2 linked regions of the Arabidopsis thaliana genome follow. The protein of the gene in region 1 purifies or fractionates together with the protein of each later gene. This does not show direct contact. Each region holds a gene or a part of one and is shown on either strand. Other genes may lie near its edges. The genes, in order: PEX3-1 and AT5G17510.

Region 1 (4,708 bases):
GGTGTCCCTTTCCCGATGTTCAAGGTGAAAGATTTGACTCTCGAGACAGTCATCTTTCAGTATGTTATTCCTGGTATAGAAAGAGTGTTACAAAACTCACCTGATTTAAAGAAGCTAACATTACTCACAAAGGATTTCTACCATAAACCGGTATATTTTACTACCATATATATAAACCTCTTTTATTTTCCATGATTACCTTTTCTGTCATCCAAGAACCATGTTTTTTTTCTGTTGTGCAGGGTGAGTATCTTGGCGACCACATGGATTTGGAAGGCTTTAATCTCGATCAATGTTGGAAATCAAAATATGGTGTCTTTTGGAACAAGTCATGTTTGGATGTAGAGTCAGAGCACGTTGTTTCATTCGTGGAACTTATGCTTAAAAACACAAAGGCATTAGACAAGATGGTCGTACTGTTGGAAGACCATTACGTTAGGTTTAAAGAGATGGTTCCAAGACTTTCTCACAACTATAATATCTCCATTGCCCTCTACACCTTCAAGCCGCAAAGTTAGATTAGAGGTGAATATGATCATTGAGTCTTATTGAGCATTTTACCCCAAGTTAGATTCTTGATTTTGATTTTGATGAAAACCAGCTGTATAACCGGTGAAAACCAGCGTTGATTATGTCCAAGATAGTATTAAAAGAAGAGATAGTAGTTAGTTAGTTTTTTTTGTGTAAGTCACAAGTTCTTACGAAATTAGAGAGGGAAAAATTATTGAAATGTGTGTTGCTATTAACCTTTTGGATGTGATCTCTCTATCAGATTGTTAATTTACTAATTCTTTTGAACCCTGATATTGGAAATTTACATCTAGTTCTAGCTCAAAAACGATGTAAATTAAGCTCTAATTTTTTTCAGTCGGTAAGTTTTCAATTATAGAATAACATGTCAGTCAGTATTTTGTTTTTGTTATGCCGATAACATTTCAATTTTGGTGTGGAATGTGTAGTTCTACTTGACATGATAACGAACGAAGCCTCAAGCCTGTATATACGAGATAAAATCGAAGTAGATAGATCACTGGATGGATCCAGATCATGTTGGGGAAAAGAGACATTAAAGAGGTTGTAGATTGTTTGTATATCCGAGGTTGTCGTTGCATGAAAAGAGACATATAAGTGAAGACAAGAAATCTTGAAAATCTCTAGTTCAGTCCAAAGGTTTGAGGAGAGTTTGAACATTATGAAATTGCTTCTACACGTGGGCCTACTTATAAACCGGAAATGTCAATGGAACCGGTTTGTTTGTTGGACATTCATTATATACAAAATTGACTGGTAATGTTAGTCCATTTTATTAAATGTTGGATTTAATTTTGTACCTAAATAAGCATATATATATATATATACATATATATAACTGAAAGTATTTCTTGAGCTAATGGATACAAAATCTACACAATACGGTTCGGTTTGATTCAATAGCCAACACTATTTGATTTTTCTAAACCAACGATAAAATCGGTCTACTGAAATTACTACCGAGTTTATCAGTTCAACATCTTTCGGTCGGAACGTATATGTATATGTTGGTTGACCTAATAAAGCAAATAGACTTTGGTTCGGTTAAGTTCGGTTAAATAAAGAAAAAGCAGATTCTGAGCTTTGTTTGTGAGATTCAGTTTCCAATATCAGAGAATCTCTGTGTCGCCTGAAGTGATAACATTCTCATTATTCACCCAAGGAGAGAGATCGGAGCTAAAAAGCCATCTCTCGCCGGAAAATTTCTCAGTTTTCTTATTACCTTAGCCACAGACAACAAGACGACAGAGGAATCTAATCTTAGCCCCCTTTCCTCTCTGTCTCTCTCTATATCTCTGTCTTTAGGCTTTGAGATATCTTCAACACGAAGCTTTTTGCTTCTTTTTTTTATCTCTTTAAAAAATTCCAGCCAATGGTTCGAATCCAATAGTAGCTTCAAAGGTCATGGATTTAGTCAGGTGTGTTCTAAATTCTGATCTCCTTATGTATTCCTTTCTCTCGCTATTGGTTTCTAGTTCCGTAGGGTTTTAGATACGTTTGCAACTGAGGACAATTAGGTTTCTTTTAATCCACATCACGATTGATTCAAAGTTCATTGTGTTTCTGTAGGGGTTTGTGGAGGAAACATAGAAGGAAGATTTTGGTGACGACGACTTGTTTGGGAAGTGGGTATTTGCTCTATAAACTATACAATGCCCATACTCGTAAGCTCGCTGATTTGGAACGAGAGCTTGCTAATGAGCGTGAAAACGACGAGATCATCAAAACCCAGTTGAGTTTTTGTAACCTCTCGTCTTTATTTTTTGCTTGTTTATCGATTTCTAGTCCTTATTGGTTTTGTTCTCTCTATGCTCTATGTTAGAATGAAGGCACATTTCGATAACATTCAGATGATTGCTGATACTACTACATTGCCTCACGCAATTCATCACTTGAGTAGTCGTGTAGTTGAAGAGATTGATGTCTCGAGTATTATGGATAAGCTAAGCAAAGGCAAAGGAATATTGATTCCTTCTGAGAAGCTTCAACTCTGGAATGAGCTCAAAATTTTGAGTGCGTTGTTGTTCCCTTACTTGTACTTCTCGTGCTCTGTGGCAACATTGGATCTTCTCATTAATCAATCTTTTTAAATGTGTTTCCTTGTGTTCAGGTTTCACGAGAATGGTCTTGTCCCTTTGGTCGGTCACTATGCTTAGTTTGTACATTAGGGTTCAAGTCAATATTTTGGGCAGACATTTATATATCGACACTGCTAGAGGTCTTGGGAGCTCCCATTTACTTGTAAGACATTTTACTTTTCTCTTTTTATTGTCTTAAGAATCATTGTTAAGCTACTTCTAGCAAATTGGTCATTCTGATAAAATTTTGTGTACTTTCATTCTACTTGTTGCATTGTATCTTGAGATATCAAAATTTCAAATTGAGATTTCAAGGGGTAGAAGTTGATATTTTGCATCTTTTCCTTTCAAAATTATCGAAATTAGTGTATTCATTGGTCTTAGATATAACTCTTGGCTGGATTACCACAATCTTTACCAACGTCATTTCCTTGATATGTTTTTTTCTCAGGACGAACTAGATCTCATAGAGAGAGATGATGAACAAAAGTTTTTGACAAGCGCTGATTTTCTTGCGACCAGTGGCATGCCGAGTTTGATTTCTAACATGCAGAACGCAGTGAAAGAAGTTCTCAAGGGGTAATTTACATTACAAACCTACTTATCAAAGATGTCTCCCTTGTTTCTCATCCTTGAAGATTGATTTTATGGTGCCTCAAACTCAAATGCCTATGAAGAATCACTATACTTTTATGAACGTATAGCGAAATCTAACTATGTGTGTTTAATTGCAGAAAGCAGTTAAAGGATGTGTTAACCACAAGTGCTCTTCGAGAAACTGTGATGCGGATTCTCGATGTGTTTATGAGCACAGGAAGTCCACACCACTGGGTAGATTATCTAATGATGTCCCAAGACGCAACCACTGATGTTTCCTCTTCTGATGCAACTGTTACCAAGTTTCATCTACTCATAACCGAGACACGGGAAGTACTCACAAGGTAAAAAAAATCTCTGCTCTTTAACCCGCAAAAGACGAACAATTTCACTTCTTTAAAGCCTTGTCCTCGTTTCTGCTTCAATGCTCAAAGCAAGAATGTTGCAATGTAGCCTGTTAAACATTTCTTGGTCTTGTTTTCATGTTGCAGCAATGATTTTTCAAATGTAGCAGAGATCTCACTCAAGTGTTGTGCCGTTGCGTTAGTAGAGGAGATGGAAACGCAGACCGGTCTGGCCACAGGGATGCAATTGGCAAAGCTATTACCACAGATTGAGAAAACCATGCCGGAGATTTCAGCTGAGCCGGAGAAGAACCGGTTCTTGCAACTCATCCGAGATTTGCCTGAAGTTAAACTCTTTTTTACTCTTTTATACGCAAATATGCCTCAGTAGCATTATTAAACCCCATTGCCAAAAATTGTTTCCTGATCACTTTTTATCATATGTTTCGATTTACTTCAAAATAGTAAAACCAAACATCTCTAGAATAATTGTTCAATATCTATATCAAATCATTTACTAATATAGTAATATTGCAGCAACAAAAAAGGACACCGTGTATTACATATCTTTCAGTTTTTAGGGCCCTAGAAGCCCAAGGCCCAATAAAACCGGGTCGGTGATATTAACTTCTTCTTTTTTATTAACTTGGGTCTCTCCATCTTTCTCAGTTCTCACTATCTGGACACTTTCGATTTCTGAAGTTGAGAGACGACTATGGCGACGAACAATGGTGATGTCTTGATGTTGGAGGCGACGCCGGAGGCTGCGAGGCCCTGGGCTAGTGCGGCGAATGCAGAAGTTATCGATGCGCTTCCTTATATAGACGACGACTATGGCAATCCATTGATTAAGTCGGAGGTAGACCGTTTGGTGGAGGAAGAGATGCGTCGGAGCTCTAAGAAGCCAGCTGACTTTCTAAAGGACTTGCCTCCTCTTCCGAAGTTCGATTTTAAGGTGAATTTCACTGTGAATCCTTTTATCGATTTGTTTGTTCGTTTCTCTAGCTAGGGTTTGGAAATTTTGTTGGATTAGGGTTTAAAGGGAATTTGGTGAATTCCAATCTTTTGGTTTCTGGGTTTTACTTCATCTTGGACTTTATAGGAGTGAGTGTTGATTTTGGGTTTGTTATGATAGGGTTCTTGTTCTCTTCTTCTATT
Region 2 (5,444 bases), on another chromosome or scaffold:
TGACATTGGTTAGTCATATCAGTCACTTTTAGCCTCTAGGAGATTATCTCGAAACCTTTTTAACAAGTTTTCATATTATTAGCTTGGGTAATATTGTAACCATTTGCATTGAGCTAAGTGTTGGATGCCGAATCTCTTTCATTGCAATTTCGCTTCAGTCCTCGTGTTGTTATTGGGCTTTATGAACAAAAAAAACTATGTCAGGAAATAGGAGTTTTCTTTTTTATAGAAAAAAAAAATGGTGGCCTTGATGCTTTTTCTCCAAGTCTGTATTAGGATTCTCTGACAACTAATTCCTGGTTTCGTAGATCCTTCAAAACAACTGTTAAGATGTGTAGTTGTTTATATGGATAAGTGTTCTTCTTTTCTCTTAACTACCTACTGGTAAGAATGCAGGCTCGAACTGGGAAACTTTCAGAGAAAGGTGTTAGGTTTGTAGGGTCTTTATCTGGATGGACAGCAACTCTTATGTTCATGTGGATGCCAGTTTCCCAAATGGTATAACAACTCATTTTTTCTCTCGTTCTTTGAACTTTCTCCTAATTGCTCTTTCCCTATTGGATATCTGATGTTCTTCTACACTTCAGTGGACAAATTTTCTAAACCCGGACAACATAAAAGGCTTATCGTCAATCACAATGTTGCTCTCGATGATGGGAAACGGGCTTATGATCCCTCGAGCACTATTTATCCGTGATTTGATGTGGTAAATATAAGCTCTCTCAATTCGAAACCTTTCAGCTTAAACTATATTCACCCGTAGTAAAAAAACTGCTTGATATTCATTAAACCATGACGCAGGCTCACTGGTTCGCTATGGGCAACTCTCTTTTATGGATATGGAAATATTCTTTGCTTATACCTGTAAGAACCCTTGCACACAACTCTCTTTTGTCACAAGTAAATGAGTTTATCGATAATCCGGTATTCTCCACAGGGTAAATTGCACCAGCCAGTCATTCTTCGTGGCAGCTACAATTGGTTTGATCTCATGGATAGGTTGGTTACTTCACAGATACTCTCTCTTACATTATCATCGTTCCATTTTTGTTTTCCACCATATATTCAAGTGTGAGATGTTCATAAATCACTCTCTGAACGCATTTAACCGTTTCTTCCCCCATTTGTATGAAACAGGACTGGCTTTGTGGAGAGATGCAGTGGCTTATGGTCACAACTCGCCGTTTAGATCTTTGAAAGAACTTGTTTTTGGACCGTAATGAATGAATGTACACGCCATAAACGCCCTTTGTTCAAGCAAGTCCATAGAGATTACATGTATTTTCATTCTTTTTTCCTAAGGGTTATAAGACAACTACTCTGTAATTTCATGTATTTTTTTACTTGAATCATATAGTAAAATAATGTCTGATATCAAAAATAACTTTTGATATTGAACGGTCAAAAATCAAAATCGAAACATTCTCGGTTCAGCTTTGGCTATCGTTTTCCCGGGTTCAGCTTTGGCTATCGTTTTCCCGGTTTAGTCTGATTAGTTGGCTTAATATTTGTGGTCTTTAATCATAAAAGCCCAATTAGATTGGCCCAGATAAATCACAAGCCTCTTTCTTCTCTCACTTAGACAAGACAACCATTATTCACGGCGAAGAACATTTCCCCGAAAAACCCTAGAATCCCAAAATAGAATCCCTAAAAGAGAAAGAAAGCAAAAATGGAGGACACGAAGCCACCATTGGGAGGTAACAACAATCCTCAGCAGCAGCAGCAACAACAACAACTTCTCTATCAACACCAACTACAACAACAACAGAGACAACAACAAATGCTTCTATTGCAGCAATTGCAAAAACAACAACAGCAACAAGCAGCAATGTCTAGATTCCCGTCGAACATCGACGTGCATCTCCGGCCACCGGGGTTGATTCAGAACCGACCCATTAATCCTCCGCCTCAGCAGAATCCTACCCCTAACCCTAATTTGGGACAGCAGACACCGAATTTTCAACAGCAGCAGCAGCAGAATGTATCGAGTCAGCAGATGATGCAGCAACAACAACAACAGCAGCAGCAGCAGAAATTGATGAGGCCATTGAATCACATCGAGCTTCAATGCGCTTATCAGGACGCTTGGCGTGTTTGTCACCCCAATTTTAAACAACCCTTCTCTTCTCTCGAAGATGCTTGCGAGAGGTTTGTTGTATCAAATGCAAATTATCAAACTTTATATACTTTTGATGAAATTCATCAAAGCCGCAGCAATTAGTATAGTTTTCTAGTCTCAATTTAATGATATCAAACATTGATCTATCTATTAATAATTGAATTTAATGATCTATCACGTTTTTTTGGGTTTTGAGTTGTTATCTCCTTAGGAGTCGCCCTGAGGCTTTCTGTTGTCCTATTTGGTAGTAGAATTAGAATGATACTATATGTTAGCCTTTTGGTCAACTATAGATTGTGACTATAGATTAAAAACGGGATCTTTGTCTACTGGAAGCATGAGTTTCTTGAATAGGTATCTTTCTGAAAAAGGTAGATGCTGCATCTGTTATATTTTCCCTGTCTATAAGTATAAGAGATCCTGTTCTTCTCTCTGAGTTTGATGTGGCATCTCTGCATGGTCCTCATTTCTTTGAGATCAATTTGGAATTACGTCCTGTCTTTTCTCGTAAAAGCTATAAATACCTCCTTTTGAGTGTTGAGAAACATTACTGAGTTCCGTGGATATTACTAATTATTCTTGCTATTTTTGTTACCTGTCTTCTTCCATATCTGTGTGAAAAGGTTCTATTGACGTAATATTAGGTTTATAATTGCTAGATAGATCCATTGCCTTGTTTGAACATTCTGTTTCTGGTTTACTGCGGTCACTACTCACATTGCGTGTATTCTTACAACCTGTGCAGATTATTACCTTATCATGTCGTAGCAGATTACGAAGCAGAAGAGGATGATAGAATCCTTGATTCAGACCCAACAGGCCAGGCCTTGTCCCGCTCTCAACAATGGGATAACAACATTGCTGCGAAAGTTGCTGAATTCACGGCAACGTTTGAGAAGCAAGCACTAGCTTTTAACATAATAACTCGAAAGAGAGCTATGGGAGAATTCAGATCTGAGGAAAGGTTGATGGTAGAACAAGCTTTGCTACAAGATGAAAGGAAAGCGTTGATTGAACTGAAAGCAGAAATGGATAGGGAGAAGGCTGGCCGGGAGGCTCAGGAGGCTAAGCTGCGGATGGCGGCTTTAGCTCAAGCTGGACAGTCTCAATCTCATGCTGAGATAATGGCTCGTAACCCATTAAGGGCTAATGCGGTTGGAAATCAGGGCAGCAATATTCAGCTTAGCCACGAGATGGGAGAACAGGGACGTAACATGAACCCTGATGAGATGATGAATGGATGGGGAAACAACAGTCAGAGAGAGGACAAGGAACCTTCAGAAGATTTCTTGAATGATGAGGAGAATGAGAATGGAGAGACAGGGGAACAAGAAAACTGGCGTGAAGCAGGAGAATTTGATTTGAATAGCCGGTAAATGACCAAGGTGAAGACTATTTGCAGTCTCATGTATTAGAAACTGGAAAGGAAATTACAGTTGCTCTTGATATCACTCCAATTTCTATAGTTTCAAGCTGCTATATATGCCAGGTTCAGGTCAAGTATATGGGTATCTGATAGTCAGACTCAAAGCCTAATGATACTCTTGCTCTCCGCTATCTGAATTACCAATGATGGTTCCAAGTAAGCATTTCTTGTATCTGTTTGATGTTTTGTAGCATAAGTTAGATGTGTGCATTACATGTTGATGATTAGTGTCTTCATGATACATGGAGATGGAGAGGCTGGTTACCTAGTAACCGAATCTTGTAGAAGGTGTAAGAGATCCAGATAGTAAAGCTTAGTAGCTAAAATAGATTATCATATGTAAGTTACTATTACAGAATTGTATTGGTTATGTATTGGCCATGTATGGAATGATTGATTGTGATATGTGAAAAGATTGTAATAGTTACACAAATTTAATCCTCAGGTGGAGGATTTTTGCATACTTTCTCATCAAATTGGTCTAATTTTGTTTGTTTTTTTTCCTTAAAAGATAATATGAAAACTAGGGTAATATTAATGCTTTAGGGTTCTAACCTAAAAAGTTTTGAGTTAACTTTGTGAAGAAGTAAGGCAATACAAAATCGTCATCGTTTCGGAGAATTGTTTCTTCTCTCTGCCATAAAAACACAGAGGACGAAGCTTATGAAGGGAAACGTAGAATAACTAAACAATTCACTAATCCTAATTAGACATTTATTCTCTCTTAGCTTAAATCAACAAATAAACCTCAGAAGATTTTGAACCATTGGCTTGCAGGTTCACAAGTAGTATCTCCGGTCAAACAGTTGCAAGAATTAGCAACAACATTGTTATCCGAATCCACGTCTAAGCATACCAACGAACCGTCACTAGTGTTGAACGACAAATGCATCTTTGTGGCCGATATTTGCTCAATCTTTGTGCATATCCTGCCAAGTTTCACACTTTTTCCGACCGCTGTTTCTCCTTCTAAGCAAGATTTGTGACCGCGTCTGATCTCAAGTATGCCTCCATGAGAATAGCTCCACGGTTCGTCCTTTGTGCATGGACCTAACGTGAGCTCGGACTCATGGCAGTGTGACTTTCTCACTAGGCAGAGTCCGGTTAACGGATGAAATATTTTCTTGTGATGATTGTGCTTTACACCGGGTCCTGTTTATTAAATTTACATCAAACTATATGTAATAATAATCTGGTTAAATTACAAGCAAGATTGATGAATACCTGTGTGCGGTGGTTGAATGACGGAGAGCCTACGGAGATAAGTATAGTTATGAACATTATGCCAATTCGCATCTAACATACCGTAAGCTTCAACTACACCACGTTTGCCTTCGCGGAAATAATAAACTCCCGTAACCGCCCAAACCGCCCAATCCAAATCTTTCTCGGCCGCCCATGCCAACATACAATTCATGTACCTAATGGTATACGGTTGATAAAAGTACTTTAAGCTTTGATTGGTAAGCAAATATCTAAATGTAATTATAAAGGAAAGCCTTGGTCGAGAACCTGTTTCCTTCAAGATCGCCACCTCTTTGATCGGTCCCAAACTCGCTCAAGAACAAAGGAAAGCCTTGGTCGAGAACAAAACCGCCGGTACGACGCTCCTTAGAGAACATTTGGCTGCAAAAGTCGTTGACATTGTGTGACTTCCATTGACCAGTACCGTCAGTGAAAGAATACCAATGAAGCTCCAAGACAAGTTTTTTCTTGAAGCTAAGATTCACTGGACGATCTTTTAAGAAACTTAGGTCAGCATCGAAGTTAAGCCCTGAGAGTATGACCAGTACGTTAGGGTTTGATGTATGCACTGCTTCTGCTCCTTTTTGCATGTACCTACATGTGGAAAAATAATAATCATTTTTTCTATTTAAAAAAAGGTTAGAATCAAGT

What was found.
Region 2: the proteins of PEX3-1 (region 1) and AT5G17510 fractionate together in Arabidopsis thaliana (co-fractionation; one large-scale study listed by BioGRID). This does not show direct contact.

What each region holds. Positions count from the first base shown.
Region 1 is NC_003074.8:6,218,983-6,223,690, forward strand, and holds PEX3-1 (peroxin 3-1), read left to right. Parts: upstream 1-1,935; coding exon 1,936-2,015; intron 2,016-2,100; coding exon of another isoform or gene 2,101-2,112; coding exon 2,113-2,262; exon of another isoform or gene 2,263-2,339; coding exon of another isoform or gene 2,340-2,353; coding exon 2,354-2,544; intron 2,545-2,641; coding exon 2,642-2,772; intron 2,773-3,060; coding exon 3,061-3,188; intron 3,189-3,343; coding exon 3,344-3,550; intron 3,551-3,697; coding exon 3,698-3,941; 3' UTR 3,942-4,091; downstream 4,092-4,708. Other genes in the region: MOS4 (modifier of snc1,4), read left to right, coding at 4,266-4,505. UniProt on the Arabidopsis thaliana protein: Involved in morphology determination of peroxisomes, but not in import of peroxisomal matrix proteins. May act as a docking factor for PEX19 and be necessary for the import of peroxisomal membrane proteins in the peroxisomes.
Region 2 is NC_003076.8:5,768,572-5,774,015, reverse strand, and holds AT5G17510 (mediator of RNA polymerase II transcription subunit-like protein), read left to right. Parts: upstream 1-1,620; 5' UTR 1,621-1,672; coding exon 1,673-2,151; intron 2,152-2,867; coding exon 2,868-3,498; 3' UTR 3,499-3,704; exon of another isoform or gene 3,705-4,087; intron 4,088-4,091; downstream 4,092-5,444. Other genes in the region: RCP1 (root cap 1 (RCP1)), read left to right, coding at 397-498, 588-706, 802-864, 938-999, 1,138-1,220; AT5G17500 (Glycosyl hydrolase superfamily protein), read right to left, coding at 4,297-4,700, 4,773-4,969, 5,061-5,387.